4 linked regions of the Saccharomyces cerevisiae S288C genome follow. Each later gene encodes a partner of the first gene's protein in a complex. Each region holds a gene or a part of one and is shown in the gene's direction. Other genes may lie near its edges. The genes, in order: MRPS9, MRPS16, MRPS5 and MRP51.

The links.
Region 2: MRPS9 (region 1) and MRPS16 share a complex: the UniProt entries of both Saccharomyces cerevisiae proteins name them as parts of the mitochondrial small ribosomal subunit.
Region 3: MRPS9 (region 1) and MRPS5 share a complex: the UniProt entries of both Saccharomyces cerevisiae proteins name them as parts of the mitochondrial small ribosomal subunit.
Region 4: MRPS9 (region 1) and MRP51 share a complex: the UniProt entries of both Saccharomyces cerevisiae proteins name them as parts of the mitochondrial small ribosomal subunit.

What each region holds. Positions count from the first base shown.
Region 1 is NC_001134.8:533,104-537,808, forward strand, and holds MRPS9 (mitochondrial 37S ribosomal protein uS9m MRPS9), read left to right. Parts: upstream 1-2,156; coding exon 2,157-2,993; downstream 2,994-4,705. Other genes in the region: YBR144C (uncharacterized protein), read right to left, coding at 132-446; alcohol dehydrogenase ADH5, read left to right, coding at 659-1,714; RTC2 (cationic amino acid transporter), read left to right, coding at 3,472-4,362. UniProt on the Saccharomyces cerevisiae protein: Component of the mitochondrial ribosome (mitoribosome), a dedicated translation machinery responsible for the synthesis of mitochondrial genome-encoded proteins, including at least some of the essential transmembrane subunits of the mitochondrial respiratory chain.
Region 2 is NC_001148.4:527,433-531,782, reverse strand, and holds MRPS16 (mitochondrial 37S ribosomal protein bS16m MRPS16), read left to right. Parts: upstream 1-2,432; coding exon 2,433-2,798; downstream 2,799-4,350. Other genes in the region: mRNA-binding protein RRP12, read right to left, coding at 1-2,060; CIP1 (Cip1p), read right to left, coding at 3,091-4,236. UniProt on the Saccharomyces cerevisiae protein: Component of the mitochondrial ribosome (mitoribosome), a dedicated translation machinery responsible for the synthesis of mitochondrial genome-encoded proteins, including at least some of the essential transmembrane subunits of the mitochondrial respiratory chain.
Region 3 is NC_001134.8:718,018-723,064, forward strand, and holds MRPS5 (mitochondrial 37S ribosomal protein uS5m MRPS5), read left to right. Parts: upstream 1-3,372; coding exon 3,373-4,296; downstream 4,297-5,047. Other genes in the region: SPO23 (Spo23p), read left to right, coding at 1,016-2,587; DUT1 (bifunctional dITP/dUTP diphosphatase), read left to right, coding at 4,594-5,037. UniProt on the Saccharomyces cerevisiae protein: Component of the mitochondrial ribosome (mitoribosome), a dedicated translation machinery responsible for the synthesis of mitochondrial genome-encoded proteins, including at least some of the essential transmembrane subunits of the mitochondrial respiratory chain.
Region 4 is NC_001148.4:324,597-329,783, forward strand, and holds MRP51 (mitochondrial 37S ribosomal protein bS1m MRP51), read left to right. Parts: upstream 1-2,031; coding exon 2,032-3,066; downstream 3,067-5,187. Other genes in the region: putative DEAD-box ATP-dependent RNA helicase DBP1, read right to left, coding at 1-1,668; isopentenyl-diphosphate delta-isomerase IDI1, read right to left, coding at 3,268-4,134; HOS3 (histone deacetylase), read left to right, coding at 5,010-5,187. UniProt on the Saccharomyces cerevisiae protein: Component of the mitochondrial ribosome (mitoribosome), a dedicated translation machinery responsible for the synthesis of mitochondrial genome-encoded proteins, including at least some of the essential transmembrane subunits of the mitochondrial respiratory chain.

The sequences.
Region 1 (4,705 bases):
AACAGAAAAAGTTTTAAAAATTTTGGAATAAAGGAAAAGGTGGTTGGGGAAGAGAATAGAGCTACAGCAAGTAAAAAGGTGCTTTCCTCGAAGTTGCGTCGAAGATGAATGAAAGTAGTTGCTAATTCTTACTAGCACATGAAAAAAAAGGATATATATAATTTTACAAGTAGTGTCTTCATGACGGATTCATAGTCTATCCAAGCGTTTGCCCAAAATTTTGCAGTAAATTTAATGTTTTCTGTATAGGATAATGGTGCGCCATTCAAGTCCCGCGAAAAATGACTGATGTCTACAGGACAGGGGCGCAATATATGTTCTCTGACATTGCACCTTTTGAATATATCATGTGTTTGTTCTGCTATCTGCTTGTAGAAGGGTACGCTAACAGAGCCGGCGGCATTGTAAAAAGTTCTCCTTTCGCGGAAGGATGAGTCAAAAAGCATGTGACAATGAAATAATCAAATTGTGACATCTGCTGACGCGGGATCGTTCCTTCGTATTGTCTAGATTGTAATCTATATAACATACTACGAATATAAAAGAGGGACTACAAGATATTTCTAGCGCAAACTACTGCTTTACTGTCTCACAATGTCTCTGATTGGAAGATACCTAAGAAAATTATTTAACTACATATCTACAAAATCAAAGCATCATGCCTTCGCAAGTCATTCCTGAAAAACAAAAGGCTATTGTCTTTTATGAGACAGATGGAAAATTGGAATATAAAGACGTCACAGTTCCGGAACCTAAGCCTAACGAAATTTTAGTCCACGTTAAATATTCTGGTGTTTGTCATAGTGACTTGCACGCGTGGCACGGTGATTGGCCATTTCAATTGAAATTTCCATTAATCGGTGGTCACGAAGGTGCTGGTGTTGTTGTTAAGTTGGGATCTAACGTTAAGGGCTGGAAAGTCGGTGATTTTGCAGGTATAAAATGGTTGAATGGGACTTGCATGTCCTGTGAATATTGTGAAGTAGGTAATGAATCTCAATGTCCTTATTTGGATGGTACTGGCTTCACACATGATGGTACTTTTCAAGAATACGCAACTGCCGATGCCGTTCAAGCTGCCCATATTCCACCAAACGTCAATCTTGCTGAAGTTGCCCCAATCTTGTGTGCAGGTATCACTGTTTATAAGGCGTTGAAAAGAGCCAATGTGATACCAGGCCAATGGGTCACTATATCCGGTGCATGCGGTGGCTTGGGTTCTCTGGCAATCCAATACGCCCTTGCTATGGGTTACAGGGTCATTGGTATCGATGGTGGTAATGCCAAGCGAAAGTTATTTGAACAATTAGGCGGAGAAATATTCATCGATTTCACGGAAGAAAAAGACATTGTTGGTGCTATAATAAAGGCCACTAATGGCGGTTCTCATGGAGTTATTAATGTGTCTGTTTCTGAAGCAGCTATCGAGGCTTCTACGAGGTATTGTAGGCCCAATGGTACTGTCGTCCTGGTTGGTATGCCAGCTCATGCTTACTGCAATTCCGATGTTTTCAATCAAGTTGTAAAATCAATCTCCATCGTTGGATCTTGTGTTGGAAATAGAGCTGATACAAGGGAGGCTTTAGATTTCTTCGCCAGAGGTTTGATCAAATCTCCGATCCACTTAGCTGGCCTATCGGATGTTCCTGAAATTTTTGCAAAGATGGAGAAGGGTGAAATTGTTGGTAGATATGTTGTTGAGACTTCTAAATGATCTTTTGTAACGAATTTGATGAATATATTTTTACTTTTTATATAAGCTATTTTGTAGATATTGACTTTTTACGATTTATTTGTAACAATGAGAATTACTCCATTTCTGAACTTCAGTAAATAGCGAGTGATTCTGTACTTTGCGAGAACCGGTGGACATTTGGTATTTTGCCTTACAAGAACAACCTATACAAACGTTTCAATATCTAATTCTTTGTAATCCATTGTTTTACGAGACATATAATGTGATATATAGATGAACTTTACGTATAAAATGATATATTTAAAACTAGCAACTGCGTGCGTAAGACAAACTGAAATAGGCCATTTACGGAAAAGAAATTTAATAATGTCGACTGGAAACTGAAACCAGGAGGAGTAGAAATTGGTTAAATTGATTAGCTAAAATTTACTCGTTGTGGACAGAGTTTGAGCCAAGCGGAATGTTTTCAAGGCTTTCTTTGTTTCGAAGGGCAGCTCTGGCTCCTGCCCCTATGAGAATGTCTTTTAGGACTATTTATCAAAAAACCGAGGATGAATTGCCCAGAAGGATCGTCCCAAAGCTAGCCACATTTTATTCGGCGAATCCTAACCATGAAGATCGTATTAATCGACTCGAAAGACTTCTAAGGAAATACATAAAACTGCCATCTCAGAACAACAATGAAGCACAACAAACAAAAGCTCCTTGGATTTCTTTCGATGAGTACGCTTTAATCGGCGGTGGTACGAAATTAAAGCCTACGCAATATACTCAGCTACTGTATATGTTGAATAAACTTCACAACATTGATCCTCAACTTACTAATGATGAAATCACATCCGAACTATCCCAATATTATAAAAAAAGTTCAATGCTTTCCAATAATATCAAAATCAAAACTTTAGATGAGTTTGGAAGAAGTATAGCCGTTGGAAAAAGGAAAAGTTCCACTGCGAAAGTATTCGTTGTTAGAGGTACAGGTGAGATATTAGTTAATGGTCGACAATTGAATGATTACTTCCTTAAGATGAAAGACAGAGAATCAATCATGTATCCACTTCAAGTGATCGAATCAGTTGGAAAGTACAATATTTTTGCGACAACGTCTGGAGGCGGACCTACGGGTCAGGCTGAATCAATCATGCACGCCATTGCGAAAGCTTTGGTTGTGTTCAATCCATTATTAAAATCCAGACTACATAAAGCTGGCGTCTTAACAAGAGATTACAGGCACGTCGAAAGAAAGAAGCCAGGAAAAAAGAAGGCAAGAAAGATGCCAACATGGGTCAAGAGATAGTCTTAGTGCATCTTGTTACCTCAATTTCGAACGGAAGCGTGCGTGCTCTGAGTTTTTTGACACATGCCAGAAGAAACGTTATATATTTTGCATACAACGCCGCCCAGCATTAGAAGCACAACTCTCGTTCGTTATTCCTGTAAATAAAGTTATATGTATTCGAATATTGCTCAGTTAGTATTTTCTTCTACTTACTGCACATAATACTTCATCTTTTTTTTCCTCTCACCCGCAAAGCAAAGGGGCCTTGCAGCAATGACTCAAATTCCATTGGAAAAAAGAAGGAGATGATAAGATGCAAATCAGAATAGATTTTACTATGACCGTTACATGTAAAAAGAGTCATAATATAAACCATAAATACTACAAATAACACCGGGTTCAGGCATATAAATAAACTATTCTCCTGTAATATCCCACAATATTTTGTTATAACCCAGACGTAATAGCCTCAAGCGAGCATCCCTAAATTTCTGCCATGAAGCTGATCCCAATTATTTTGAATGCTAAGAATCTCAGTGGGATGGCTGGATCCATATCAATATGCTGTTGGATTGTTGTGTTTGTACCACAGATTTATGAAAACTTCCGAAGACAGTCTGCGGAGGGATTATCACTGCTTTTCATTGTGTTGTGGCTATTAGGTGATATATTTAACGTCATGGGAGCTATGATGCAAAATTTACTCCCAACCATGATAATTTTAGCTGCTTACTATACATTGGCAGATTTAATTTTGTTAATACAGTGCATGTGGTATGACAAGGAGAAGAAGAGCATTTTACAAGAAGTCAAGAAAAATGTTGATCCTGTGCATTTGCCTCCAGCAAACCCCATAAATGAGACTGTCTTACAAGACGTTTTTAATGAATATGAGCCACTTTTGCCAAGGATAGAAGAAGAAGATAGCCAATCGTATAGCTCGCTTGAGCTTGGCAGAACAATAGTCGTAAAGGAAAGAGAGAATTTTTTCAATGACTTCTTAATTGTTTCAGGTGTACTTATTGCCGGAATTTTGTCATGGTATATATCTTACTGTTCCGGCCTAGATAACGGTATTCCTAAAAAAAAACCTGCGTTCGAACAGATTAATTTACCTGCACAAATTTTAGGGTATTTAAGTGCGATACTGTACTTGGGCTCTAGGATCCCTCAGATTGTTCTTAACTTCAAAAGAAAATCATGCGAAGGAGTCTCATTCCTATTCTTTTTATTTGCATGCTTAGGGAACACTTCTTTCATAATCTCAGTGCTCTCAGCATCTTGGCTTATCGGTAGCGCTGGTACGCTGTTGATGGACTTCACAGTTTTTATTCAATTTTTCCTTTACGCCAAACCTAAATACGAGAAAATACTAATAGATAATTAACTAGTTGGCTTCTATTAATCTTTCCACTTAAAACTCAAACTTACTCATATGCGCATCGGCTATAGCCCAGAACTAGTATTTTCATTTTATGGAGGAAACAAAATTACTAGCGCCATCACGGCTCAGTCGTTATTTTGGCGATGCCCTTTGCTGACACGCGTCTGAAAAAATACACAAAAAATAACACAAAAACGAGTAATGCCATTTCCTGGGTGGGGTCTCTATCCATAGAGGAAAAAAAGTGACAGGAAGGGGACAAATTCAACTATTCACTGTAGTCATCTAATAATTTTTTTAACTTAATCACACCAACAAAAACAAAAAAAAGCTAAAACTAGGTTGA
Region 2 (4,350 bases), on another chromosome or scaffold:
AAATCTTCCTTTGAAGTAATCTTTAAATATTGATCAATCGTTTCCAAAATATAACTCCTTGCATTTGGAGTGGTTTGAGTATAAACATTGAACAAAACTGCTAGAAGATTCGTTGATTTGGTTGAAAGGTATTCTATATTCTTTTGAGCTTCAGAAATGGGGAAACGTTGCAACAATAAAACGTTGTGAGAAGAGGACTCTTCGGCATATGAAACATTGCTTTCTGCCAAGACCTTTAAAGCATGACAAATTGTAGTTCTTAACTCAACCTCGCTGTATAATAAAGAAGATAGTTCTGAGGCAAATTCGTCAGTGAAGGATTCCCTCAAGTCCATTGGGAGTTCACAAAACCGTGGAAGTGTAGACCAGATTTGGTCAACAATAGTTTGAAAAACTCTCAATTGAATAGATTCTTCCGGGACTTTATCGAACTTAGATTGAAAACTTTTAATGTATGGTGCCAATTCGTTTTGAAAAGTTGCAAGGTTCGCATTTTTCGTATAATCTCTAATAAGCGGTAACAACCAAGCCCTGCCAGGTCTTTCGGAAGATGGATTGTCTAAATTCAGGGGTGCTTCTGCGAGTATCATTTCAGGGCCCATAGCAGAAATGGAGGCTCCGATTACTAATTCGATTTCATTTCTCAAATCCATAAACTGTTCTTCATTTACTCTCCATGTATCGACTATTTTCAGTGATTTTAAAAAGTGAGGATTAGATCTATATCTGAATTTGTTGAATGCTGCCACCAAAATCTTAAGAATTTCTCTGGAACAATGGGAATATCTAATGGATAAAAAGTCGATAAATGTTTTCGCAATTTGAGAGATGATTTCATCTACGTTTTTGAAAACTTTCTCATCCACACTTGGTGTATACAATAACAAATCATCTTTAACAGACTCAGAAAGGATTGAGATAAGACATTGAGAGGCAGCTTGGTACACTTCTGGAGTTTCACTAGCTAAATATGTGCACATAATGTGAAATACACCAGGAATTTTACGTAGCGCTTTCAGTGGTTGATGTGTTGCGTAAGTGGACATACCCTTAATGACCACAGCAATCCAGGACTTGGTTAATAATGTATCGACATTTGAGGGTTTTAATGCAAAAATGGTATCCAAGACTCTTAGGTACTTATTTTCAGCCAATCCAGAAGAAATGGTAGTTTCTGCCATTGTTTTGAACATGCTTTCAAAACATTCAAATGATGCAGAAACGAGATATTGCTCTGAGCTTTTGGTGACTCCCAATAGTACATCACAAAGAGGCTCAATCTGTGAAGATGGCCACTGTCCAGTAGAGACGACTGAAGTAATCAACCTTAGAGAGCGCATGACACTAGCGTTAATGTCTTCCTTTGTTTTCTGTGCTTTCAATTGTTTATTTGATAAATTCGAGAGATCATTTAAAATACCTGCTAACTGCTTGTCACAGAAATCTGCTACAAAAACTGCCGCTACATGCTCTGCAGTTGGTGCAACAGGAGGGTTTAATAAGACCGCATGAACTGCATCTAGCGCTCTCTTTCTAACTTTTGGTCTTACATCTAAAGAAAGTTCAAGTATACCCTGCAAACCTCTTTTTGGAGTGACGTTTAGATCATAAGTATTGTTCCAGGCTTGTGCATCTTGAGCAATAAGAAGAGATTCTAAACAACCAATAGCAGCTCTAATTAGAGGGGCATTAGCCTTTTCTGCAGTGATACATGGGGCAATTTTCGTTAGGATTTCAGAAAACTTCGATCTTAATAATACCTTAGGCGAATAATGAAATATCAGATCTAGAAGATATGTAGATGAGGAAGCCAATTGAATATCTTTTATTTCATGAGTAGATGGGTCTACTGCTTGATCCAATAGTGACATAAAGGAAATGATATAATTTACAATGTTTTTTGAAACATCATTTGTAGCTTGACCTGCAATATTTTCCTCAACGGCAGTTAATATTATAGCAATATGCTTTTGATTCTCCAATTTAGAGTTTACTTGGGAACGAATTTTAGCCAGCTTGTCCTCCAGCTCTAAAAGAAAAGCAACTTTGTCTTGATCCATGATGAACTCTGAGATTTGCTGATTCAATTCGCGAGATGCTGTTCAAAATCTAGAAATTACCTGGTTGAATTCAATCAGTAAAAAAATAAGTTGAACCTTTTCAAACTAAAACTCTTCTCTGAGAGAATTAACTGCGACCGAGGAAGTTCTAATTGCGCGATGAGATGAGATGATATAATTAAAATTTTAAACACTGCAGCGAAAAGAAAAATTTTCACTAATTATGATCATCTATCATTCAGGACGGAAAAAATGAAATAGTACACCAAGAACAGTTGTAAGAAAAAAGGAAGGGGAATATATACACGACTTAAGTAACGGAGGAGTTCTGACTGGTATTCCGTTAAGAAATTGTAATAGAGTTTATCAAGTATGACCTGTGGTCTAGTACGAATAAGGTTAGCTAGATTTGGAAGAAAAAATAGTCCGGTCTATAATATCGTAGTGGCTAATTCCCGTAAGGCGAGGGATGCTAAACCGATCGAGGTACTAGGAACCTACGTGCCGGTACCCAGCCCAGTGACCAAGAGAGAATTGAAGAGGGGCGTTGTACCTATTAAAGACGTGAAGCTTGATTTTGATAGAACAAAATATTGGATTGGTGTGGGAGCACAACCTAGCGAAACAGTTACTAAACTATTACGAAAGGCTGGTATATTAAATGATGCATGGGCCACTAGTAAGAACAGCAATGTGAATAGGAAAGTTGTATTTGAAAGAATGGAAACATTGGAGTGAAAAAGATCGGAAAAAAAAAAAAAAAGAAAAAGAAAGGAAAGCAAAGGAACGTGTTTTAATTGATGCGAGGTGTATATGTATATGTTGTATATATGTTTTACTTGGCGCTTTTATATCTATCAGACTTGTAAATAATACATCTATGGCCAACCAGAAAATGGAGAATGAGACTTGAAATGGAATAAATTAAATTCTTAATCGAATGTGAAGAAAAGAGAAAGTGTAATAGAATTTCATTAAGATAGTGTCATTATAGGTCATGTATTGTGTGCTCCTGACTGTTCGGCACTATTTACCTTTTAAGACGCAATAAATCTCTTTTTAGCTTCAATGATTCATTTGGTAAAATAGAGGATTCTTCAGTGGACACGTTTGCTGTAGGTAAACGAGTACTAGCTAAGGGGGACGATATGATATTGCTACGTTGTCTCGATAGCAGAGCTATGTTAAAATTAAATGCGGAATCTGTTGTAGGCGTTGGCGTGAGTAAAGAAAAGGCATTACTGTTGCTAACACTATTGTTAGAATTTGTGCGGGCTAAGATAGGTTGTGGTTGTAATTCTGAAATATACTGGGACGAGCCATTTCTATTCTTCATTGAGACGTTGGATCTTTGTAAGGAATACCAGTTCAACGTGTTGGTCAGGCTGGTAGTAGAGCTTACATTCGGATTCGAGTTTGTGTTTGATAAGGGGATTGGATCGGTAATATCTGCGTTAACAAACGGGGAGGGAACTCTAAGCATTTCAGAAAACTGTGGTGGGGGTGGTGGGGGTAAAGAAGTTAAAGAAGTGTTACGAGAAAGATAGCCGTCTTTTCTGACCTCTTGCAACAAGCGCTGTCTTACCAATGTTAAAAGCCAGCTATTTCTGTCACATCCGATATCCAATTGTTGAAGCTCAGATTGCTGTATAGCCGCTTTGGCAACTCTATTCAATATTCCTGAGGGAGGGTTTGTAGTATCAAACGGAGTTATCGTAGGATCGCTGCACGTGTTTTGGTAAACTTCTAATAGAAGGCCGACAAACTGCGGTGTGAACGAAGTGAATTGAGCGTTATTGTTGTAAAAGGTATGTTGTTTGAAATTCTGAGCGAAATCGGAAACGGAACTCGCCAGCGAAGAGGCGCTATTCTGTCTGGTTCTATTAGCATTGAGGTAAGGTGGAAAATACGAGGCATCCGAGCTTTTCGCCTGATTGGAGCTGCTATTATTTATAGGAGTCATTACCGGAGTGAAAACGGGAGTGGACAAGTTTCTGTCAAATGCAATCATGTCATCGTAATCACAATTTAACAACGGCTGAGGGTCCTGAGTTTGATGTTGAGCTTCTGGTTGGATGGGCAACGCGTCTTCGGGCTTGCAATTCTTGTCCTTATTTTCTTGAGATCGCCTAGAAGAGCCGGCGTGTAATCTCTTGTGCAATCTTTCCAGCAGCATTCTATATCCTATTAAACTGGTTCTAGTTCGCTTTACTAAGAAGGGAATTACAGGTTGAAGCTAGGGGGAGGAAAATACACGCTTCTATAATAGCATTCTTATATATGTTTATCT
Region 3 (5,047 bases), 190 kb from region 1:
TAAATTTAGCGGTTAAATATATAAAATAAACGAATATAAAGAGAGACTCTTCTAGTTATTCTTAATTACTCTTATAACGATGCTAAAAATGACGAAAGAGGAATTAACACGATATATAGATAATATACCAATGAAAAGAAGAAGAAAGTATGAGAAAAAGTTTCTGTATTAATATGAAATTAAACATTGATTGGATTCGATCACGATGTATTCAATGAGCTAACAATGCGTCCCGCACATCTTTTTTTCAAAATTTCAAGCAAAATTTTTTCATTTCATCGTTGAGTCATTTCGCAGTAACGTACAAAATGCACAGGGTGCAGCGGGTGGGGCCACGTTTTAAAGTGATTCTGCCATGCCTTTGCCTTTATATTAAGCAACATAACTGCCTGACAGTAATGCAACTACACAGTGTTCCGTGAGACCGTTACAGCTTATGTTTACACAGCCTCATGCCCAATGAAAGAGTGTCAATATAAGGAATGCGCTTGCATATATACGAGTACATAATTTGCTGTTGATCACGTGATTCATAATTTTTTTATTTATGTGCCGATGACAATGTTTTCCATCACTTTCAAGGCTAGCTGTATACTGGCAGTTCGTGTTCAAAAACCTGTGTGGAGTTTTACCCTAGCATTCAGTTATGTCAGAAGTGTGTTTGGCATCTATGTTAGGCCAATTGTTATTGTTTTATGCGAATTATGTGGGTTGTGCAGCTGGGGTCAAAAAGAGCGAATGTAATTATATTGTAAACATTAAATCTGCACAATGGAATCTTGTTTAGCCTTTGTTTTTTTCTTTTTCTTTCTATTTCTTTTGTTTTCGATTTTGTTTTTGTGTCACAAAATAACTAATGGCGACATCGCAGTTTTTTGGGCGGCTGCATACTGTTTAATAAAAAGAAGTTACTGCTACCTCAAGATTTCTTCCTAAGCACTCAAGCCCATGTTTGCCAGTATTGTTATCTTGCAACAAAATCAGACAAATAGAATTTCCCTTTTTTGTTTGACTAATGTTGTTTTCGTCTTCATCTTCTTCACTTAATTCCGAGGTTTCACAAGTGTTCTCGGAAAATATATCTAGTAGATCCACTACTCTGACTGAAAGTTCCACACAAAGCGAGATAAGGCAGCATTTTGGTAATGAAGATTTCAGTGGTGAACTACCAAAAAAATTAATTCAACTCAAGAAATTAAAAAATGGTGGCACTACAATCAAGAAGGCTAAGGAAGACCTTGAGTATTGCTATGATTCACTACGGCTGTACGAAAATCCCTATGTAACATCATCTGTAGATAAAAAATGTGGTTACAGCATTGAATTGTATCTAGATAACAAGTACAAAACACTAATGTTCTCCGATTTACAATTGAATGCTGACTATCCGTTGTATTACGATTCCTCACTGGATAATATATCTACAAATGTTGAAAGAGAAAGAGCCACTCCTCTACAAATCAAAGGAAAGATTAGGATAAACATTGATAGAGAAGACCAGGCCCTCTTAATCACTTCCCATTCAATTTCTTTAAAATGTTTCACAAAGGAATATGCATGCTTTGTAAATTCAGAAACTAGCAAAAACTCCTATAGTGACAAAATTATCAAAGAACTTAATCACACAGAGTTTTTTGAGTCTTCCACCTACCCCAAACAGCAGTTGAGAGTCATACACCACTCATTAAATGATAAGAAAATTCTATTGACAAAGGGCACGTACGATTACCCATTCACTTTTACCCTTCAAGCAAATACTTTCCCAGCAAGTTTCTCTTCCTTCTTTGGCAAGACCCATTTTCGAATAGAAAGCTTAACAACAATAATGAGAATACCAAGTAAACCTAAAAACTTACTCAAATTTTTGAAGAATGAAAGTTTTACAGATAAGATCATTTTAACAGAAGAAATTAAAGTTAAAAGAGTCCTGCCTTCAACGAGTATGCTTAAGTTTGAAACATTTCAATTAAGGTCATACAATACTGCAAGTGAGATCGTAGTATCGGTCATTGGAAACTCCAAGTTGATTGAAATTGGTATGCCTTTCCAAATGATATTATCAATTACCAAAACAGATTCTTCCATTGAATTACAGGAAGCTTCTTTGGCAGTTGCACAGAGAATGGCAATACCAAGTATTGATTTGAAGACCAAGAAAATACTACGAGAGCCATACATTAAAAAGTCCGAGTATTTACTAAGAACTGTAGAAAGCCAAAGTTTCGATTCCGACAAGACCATTTTCGGATTTTGCTTTGATGACGTTGTCATCCCAACCTATGCGGATGGTCTACCGAGCTGGTTTAAAACATTCTACTGTGAACCAAGTTCATTTTATCCCAATCATGCTGCCCTCAAAGTAACTCATTTGCTTTTGTTCAGAATAACCTATAGCAGGAATGAATTGGTGGAAGGGCTTGAAATGAAAAAAAATTATCGTATTACGGTGAATTTTCCAATTTTAGTTGGCGATAGTGATATTTCGACCAGCTCTTTGTTACCCAAATATGAAAAATTTGAAAATATTAGTGATCTACAAGATGAACCCCCACTATATTCTATGGTAGCAGGTGAGAATAGCTTATGAATGTTCGGTACCTCAGAACAACGCCTCTATTTTATCCTTTTTTTTTTTATTTGCATGATATACATATACTATTTTTTATTAGTTTCTTATTCTACTATGTATTTACGTAACAATAAATTTACAGGTCTCTCTTTTTGTAAGTATCTTGCACGCTGATATCTATAATACTACTTCACAAGTTGATCAGCTTCCGAGATAGACATTTTATGTATCAAGTCGCCATGTCCGTTCTCTACTGGCCGGTGTATATTATGATATTTCGACCGGTTCTAATACATAAGCACCGCCCACTCTGAGGAGAAGACATTTTTACAAGAATTACTAGCCATATTTTCCCTTGTCAAATTAGAGAAGGAAAAATTACTTGAAACATCCCGTGTTTGGGCACTAAAAGTATATCAATAGGAGCTGAAGAACACTACACTAGACTCTCTTGGCGTGAAGGCCTTATTATGTGAACTTTCGTAGGTTTGACTTTTACTACCAGTATGAAAAAGGTTAGAGTTTATTCAATCAAATGGAAAAGTTTTACAACTGAGCTAGTGATCTCCAAATGAGGTAGCAAGTAACAGTCGTATGTATCCCATACATTTATGTATCCCATATATTTCATTACATGGTGATGCTTTCTTTTATTCGCGGAGTAAAGTTCCTTAAAGTGAAAAAAAAAAAAAGACGAATTGACAAGACAATAATACAAGCACCACTAAAAGACCTATCGTTATTGTTGTCAAAGTAGACGGTAAACCATACAAGAAACAGATTTCATAGATCAATAGGTAAAGATGTTCAAGAGGCAATTATCGACTAGTGTTCGTTATCTACAGCATTATGATGAGTCGCTATTATCAAGGTACTATCCTGAAAGTCTTTTAAAATCCATAAAACTTGCTCAACAAACGATACCAGAAGATACTAAATTCAGAGTATCTCGTAACGTGGAATTCGCACCACCATATTTGGATGATTTTACCAAAATACATCCTTTTTGGGATTACAAACCAGGCATGCCCCATCTCCACGCTCAAGAGGAGAATAATAACTTCAGCATCTTTAGATGGGACCAGGTACAACAACCATTACCAGGCGAAGGTAACATTCTGCCTCCAGGAGTCAGCTTACCAAACGATGGTGGTCGGAAATCGAAAAGCGCCGATGTAGCTGCAGGGCTACACAAGCAAACCGGTGTAGATCCGGATTATATCACTAGAAAGTTGACTATGAAGCCGCTGGTGATGAAAAGAGTGTCAAATCAGACTGGGAAGGGTAAAATTGCGTCTTTCTATGCCTTGGTTGTCGTTGGTGACAAAAACGGTATGGTAGGTTTGGGAGAAGGTAAATCTCGTGAAGAAATGTCCAAAGCGATCTTTAAAGCTCATTGGGATGCGGTAAGGAACCTGAAGGAAATACCTAGGTATGAAAACAGAACTATTTATGGTGATATAGATTTTAGGTATCATGGTGTGAAACTACATTTAAGAAGTGCAAAACCAGGGTTTGGATTACGTGTAAACCATGTAATCTTTGAGATTTGTGAATGTGCAGGTATCAAAGATCTGAGTGGGAAAGTATATAAATCCAGAAACGATATGAATATAGCTAAAGGTACCATCGAGGCTTTCACGAAAGCTCAAAAGACATTGGATGAGGTTGCCCTGGGTAGAGGCAAAAAGCTTGTTGATGTCAGGAAAGTTTACTATTCAAGCTGAAATACTATGTACATACACACGCACCATTATCTCTCGTTTTACATAAGTAAATACAGCAATAATAATACCTGTAAATATCTCAACATACTCAATCAAATGAGCTGATAAGCATATTCAATTTTTCTTCATAGCAATATTTTTTTCTGTCCAAGTTTTATTTTTTTTCCATAATTTCTGATTTACTACCATTGAAAATTATAAAAGGAAAAATATTACGCGCTACCATTTAATAAGTAGAAACAACTAAGTTCTCGAATGAGATGTTTGCACTGATACAGCGAGCCAAAAAATAACCAAATGACTGCTACTAGCGACAAAGTACTAAAGATTCAATTGCGCTCAGCAAGCGCTACTGTACCTACCAAAGGTTCTGCCACTGCCGCGGGATACGACATTTATGCATCTCAGGATATTACCATTCCGGCTATGGGTCAAGGTATGGTTTCCACCGACATATCGTTCACCGTACCTGTTGGTACCTACGGTCGTATTGCGCCAAGGTCAGGCCTGGCAGTGAAAAACGGTATCCAAACCGGTGCTGGTGTTGTCGACAGAGATTACACCGGTGAAGTTAAAGTAGTTTTATTCAATCATTCACAGAGGGATTTCGCGATCAAAAAAGGTGATCGCGTAGCCCAATTGATTCTGGAAAAAATTGTCGATGATGCCCAGATCGTTGTTGTAGACTCTCTGGAAGAAAGTGCAAGAGGGGCCGGTGGCTTTGGTAGCACTGGTAACTAACTTAGTGTAT
Region 4 (5,187 bases), on another chromosome or scaffold:
TCCCCTAGTTCTTCCACCTCTTGAATTCTGTCTTGACAGGTCACTTAAAAACGTGGGAACTTCTTGATTCGCTTCATTTAAAATTTCCATCAAACCCTTCACAATATTCTGATTATTACTATTGAAGAATGAAGTAGCCACGCCTGTGTTACCAGCACGGCCTGTTCTACCAATTCTGTGAACGTAGTCATCGATGTCGGAGGGCAAATCATAATTAATGACATGTGTGACATTCGGTATATCCAAACCTCTCGCTGCTACAGCTGTTGCGACCAGGATATCAGCTACGTTAGCTTTGAAAGCAGATAAGGCACGTTCACGTTCAGCCTGTGTGCGGTCACCATGTATGGCTGTAGCTTTGAAATTTTGCATGATCAAAAAATCTGTGAGTTGATCCGCCATTCTTTTCGTTTCAACAAAAATCAATGTCAATCCCTTATGCTCTGCAGACAGTAAATCTAACAACGCAGACTTTTTGTCCATGTCATCGACATATAATATTCTTTGCGTGATATTTTCTGAGGTGGAACCGACTCTTCCTACTGATAAAAAAATATAATTATCTAAGAAATCGCGTGCCAAATGCTGGATATCTACTGGGAATGTGGCGGAAAACATCAAGGTCTGTCTATTTTCCACAGAGGGCATATCACATTCTTCAACTATATGGCGAATTTGGGGTTCGAATCCCATATCTAGCATTCTATCAGCCTCATCCAATACCAGGTATTTGATATTAGCCAAAGAAACTTTTCCGCGTTCTAATAAGTCATTCAGCCGCCCTGGTGTAGCCACCAATAAGTCACAGCCGCGGTCAACCTCCCTCATCTGGTTACCGATTGGCGCGCCACCATAAACAACGCATGGCCTAACCCAAGATCTATACGTAAATTTTCTTGCTTCTTCAAAAATTTGGGTAGCCAATTCTCTAGTTGGTGCAAGTACTAAAGCAGATGGATATCCCTTTCTAGAATAAAAGCTCTGTGCTTTCTCGGGTACTGGAGAGGGCCCAGACCTGAATAGCTCCGTGAAGAGCGGAAACAAAAACCCACCTGTCTTACCTGAGCCCGTTTGTGCGCATGCCATCAAATCCCTACCTTTGGTAACTATTGGAATAGAATATTTTTGTACTGGAGTAGGTTTGGTGAAACTAGCAAGTTTGATATTTTCCATTAACAGCTCATCCAGAGGGGGAGAACTAAAATCTAGTATAGGTTCAGGAACATCTTTTCCAGATGCATCTACGGGAATATTATCGTAATTATCAAACTTTATACCAGATGAATGGTAATCGGGATCGTCGTGTACACCAAACAGTTCGGCTTCTAATTTCGCGTTCTTAGGCCCCGGTATATGCTTGCCATTTACCCATCTATTTCCAGATGATTTGTAATTTGAGCTGCCTCCGCGGTTATAGTTCGCACTCGTCCCTCCATTTCTTTCCTTAGAAAAGCCAAAAAACCCGCCATTGTTCCCAGTTTGCCTTCCAGCACGTCTGAAAAAATCACCACCCGTAACCTTATCTTCCTGTTTTGGGGTACTTCTTTCGAATGATGGTTTTCCTCTACTTCTCAAGTGCGGTGGGACATAAGATGATTTGCCGCCACCACCACCATTCTCTTTGTTGTTGATGCTTAAATTAGATACCTTCTGTGGCAAGTCTGCCATTTTTTCTTGTAATACTTTCACTCAAAGGGGTTTTTCTTAAAATATCCTTTAACTGACACTACCGATATCTTTTATAATCATGAATAATCCTTGTTATAAAATAAAGGCATTACTTCAGAGATGACCTTAAGTAACCTTCCCTTAAAATTGTTAAAGAACTCGCGGGGTAATATTTACGTTGACAGTGATATTTGTTTTGAGAAATCAAAGAATGAAGAACTTAGATGTAGAGTTAAAGGAGCAATACGAATAGGTGCCGTGATGAAGAAAAAAAATCATACAGACATTTGCTACAACCCTTGGTGAGACTGTTTCGATCATTTTTCTTTTTCTTTTTCTTTATTTTAGAAAAAATTGAACGAAATGACATTGGCAGAGTTGCTTGGACGGTCGAGAATAGCTCAAGTAGCTAACAATCATAAACCATTGACATACACTGGCAAAAAATTTCATCCAACACATCAAATCATCGAAACTAAGCCATCGACACTATACAGACAAGAATGGGGGTTGAAATCCGCTATTCCTTCGAAAATTAAATCTCGATATTTGGTGTACAACGATTTGGATACGTTGGAAAGAATTACCACATTCGAACCTAGAGGCGGTACGCAATGGAATAGGCTAAGATTTCAAGAAATGGGAGTACCAATTGTGTCTAATATAGGCAGACAAAATCCATTTTTCAAGTACATATCTCGTCCTGAGGATGAGTCTCATGCTAAATTGTCCTTATTCAAAGAAATGAAAGGAGATACAGATATTTCGCCTGCTGCTATGAAGAAGCGTTTGAAGAAGATAACAGCACTAATTAGATCGTTTCAAGATGAATTTAAAGAGTGGCTGGTGGAAAATCATCCGGATGAATTGAAATTGAATTCTAATAAGCTGGAAGACTATGTAGTGAAGTTTCTAAACAAAAAGTTGGAAACAAAAACGAATAAAAAATTTAACACTGAAATCATTGGTACAGGTGGATTATCATACAGCTTGCCAGGAAAGCTAAAAAACTCACCAAATGGTGTCATTCAAAGGACTGTAGTACCCGGTAGAATCTTGAACGTTGTTAAGGAGAACAACGACAATAAATGGCTGGCAGCTATTGGTGGGTTTGTGGCCGATGTGGTATTTTTCCAATCACCACCTAGTTCCTTTAACTCCATGGGAGATTTCATCAGAATGAAAACGTTCTTGTTCGAGATCTTGGAGGCATCTATGGAGAAAAATGGTTCTGTTTCGATGCACGCTAGATTACTCGAACCACAAAATGACAAGACCAGAGAATTTTTCAATAAGAGACCAATTTATAAACCATTGACCTCTAGAAGGGCACGTCGACCATCAGTGGGAAACATTCAAGAGGCCAATAACCTTTTGAATATAATCAAGGGAAATTGAGAAGAGAAAAAAAAAATGTGAACAATCAATGTATATTCAGAGTTCTGTAAATAAATAAAGAAAATAAAGTTTACATATTACTAAGGATTTTTGTCGCCTATTTTTACTATTTTTCAGGTGAAATGAAACGTTTTATATCACATTTTGCTATGATAACAAAGTTATTATGATTTTTATGTAGCCTATATTATTGACGCGTTGTTATAGCATTCTATGAATTTGCCTGTCATTTTCCACTTCAGAAAGGTCATCTAATTGCTCCCACCAGTTGAATAAGTAATTCTCGCAAATAATCTTAAACCAAGGCGTAAACTTGTAACTTGGGTCAGCAAACATAGTTTTCAAATCATTTGGTGAAACCCATTTGAAGTCTCTAACTTCATTGACGTTTGGGTTGACAGTCAAGTTTTCTTTAGCGTTGATCTTATAAAATAGGATGTAATCAATTTCATGTTCACCCCATGGTTCATTGCTTGGTGCCATGTAATGGATTCTGTTTAAAAAGTGAAACTTACCCCTTGTCTTAGTTTCATCTTCTGGAATACCTAATTCATGATCTAGTTTTCTCACCGCCGCAGTAATAGCGCCCTTAATCTTATCGTCTAGCTTACCCTTCAAACCTAATTCGTCATCAATACATAGTGGATGAGAGCAGCATGTGTTAGTCCAAAGATCAGGGAAAGTTATTTTTTCAGTGGCTCTTTGTTGTAAAAGTAATTCACCTTGTTCATTGAAAATAAAGACGGAGAATGCACGATGTAGTAAACCCTTTTCAATATTTTCCATTAAATGACAAACTTTCTTGGTACCGGCACCAATAGCATTATCGTCCCAATCCAAAACAATACAATTTTCATTCATTAACTTAATTTGCTCCTCATCATGACCAGAAAAACATGTTTCTCCGCTTTCGTCATTTGACGTCTCACTAGATCGGGTATTAGGTCTTTGTTGTAATGGAATAATTTCAGGAAACTCTTCCAAAATGTCTTCAGGTGTTTGGTTTTGCACTAATTTGGCGTAACTAGATACTGCACCATGGGGCATACTATTGTTGTCGGCAGTCATTGAGGTGTAATGAATTTTTGGCTTATTTTTACTCTTCCTGTATTCCAAATACGAATACTCTAATATTGAATTAAGTGGGATATACGCCTTCTTGTCACTAGAAAACTGTTTCCTGTTAAATAGATAAAAATGAATAAATAAATATAAATGGAGTTAAGACCGAAAAAGAAAGGCAACCCCCATCGACAAGAAAAGAGTTATGAATAATCATGTTTCTTAATAACAATTAAAGGGAAAAGAATCGGCTGGGCATCGTCATTGCGAAACTGTTGACTGGAAAAATTTCAATCACAATTAAGTTTTGTCCATTTCGTTCCAGCAAGAACGGAAACTTTTACCGATAGCAGCGGAAAAAAAGAAAAAAGAAAAAAAAAAGAAATTAATATAGGCAAAATAGCCGCATGAAGCCCTTAATAACCTATACTATTCTGTGACTGTTATTTATTTACCCTCGTAATATTAAAAATGTCCTATACAATTTCTGTAATAAAACCTAATTTTTTTAGGACCCTTGAGTGTTACCCTGCTCATGTTTTTATTTTTGTTTTAGAGAAATGTAAACAACAGTTTGGGAAAGTTTCAAGAATTGTAAACAACTAATCAAGGGATAATACTATTTTACTCTTTCCTTTAAACATGAAGAACTATTTTTTGTTTACGTTTTTTTCTGAATTGAACAATAAGATCTTGTTAATTTTTTTATCGCTTGATCTATTATCAGATCTTCTCTTTTGAAAAACTAGTCCTTTTCCAAATTACAAACTTTCTTTTCGTGTGGAGTTGATCAGTTCAGTTTCTCCAATACTTCTTAAGTCACTGAAAATATAACGAAAAAAAGGGCTCTGGAAGTAAACAGAGAAATTCGACGATATAATATGTCTTCCAAGCATTCAGATCCATTGGAGAGATTTTATAAGCAATTTCAAGCATTTGTTCAAAATAACCCTAATGTCATATCGGCAGCTCGAGCTGCCGCACAAATACCGGAATCTGCAAAAGCTGTTGTAGTACTATCCCCATATTCTTTACAGCATGTGTTCCCGAGAGAATGGG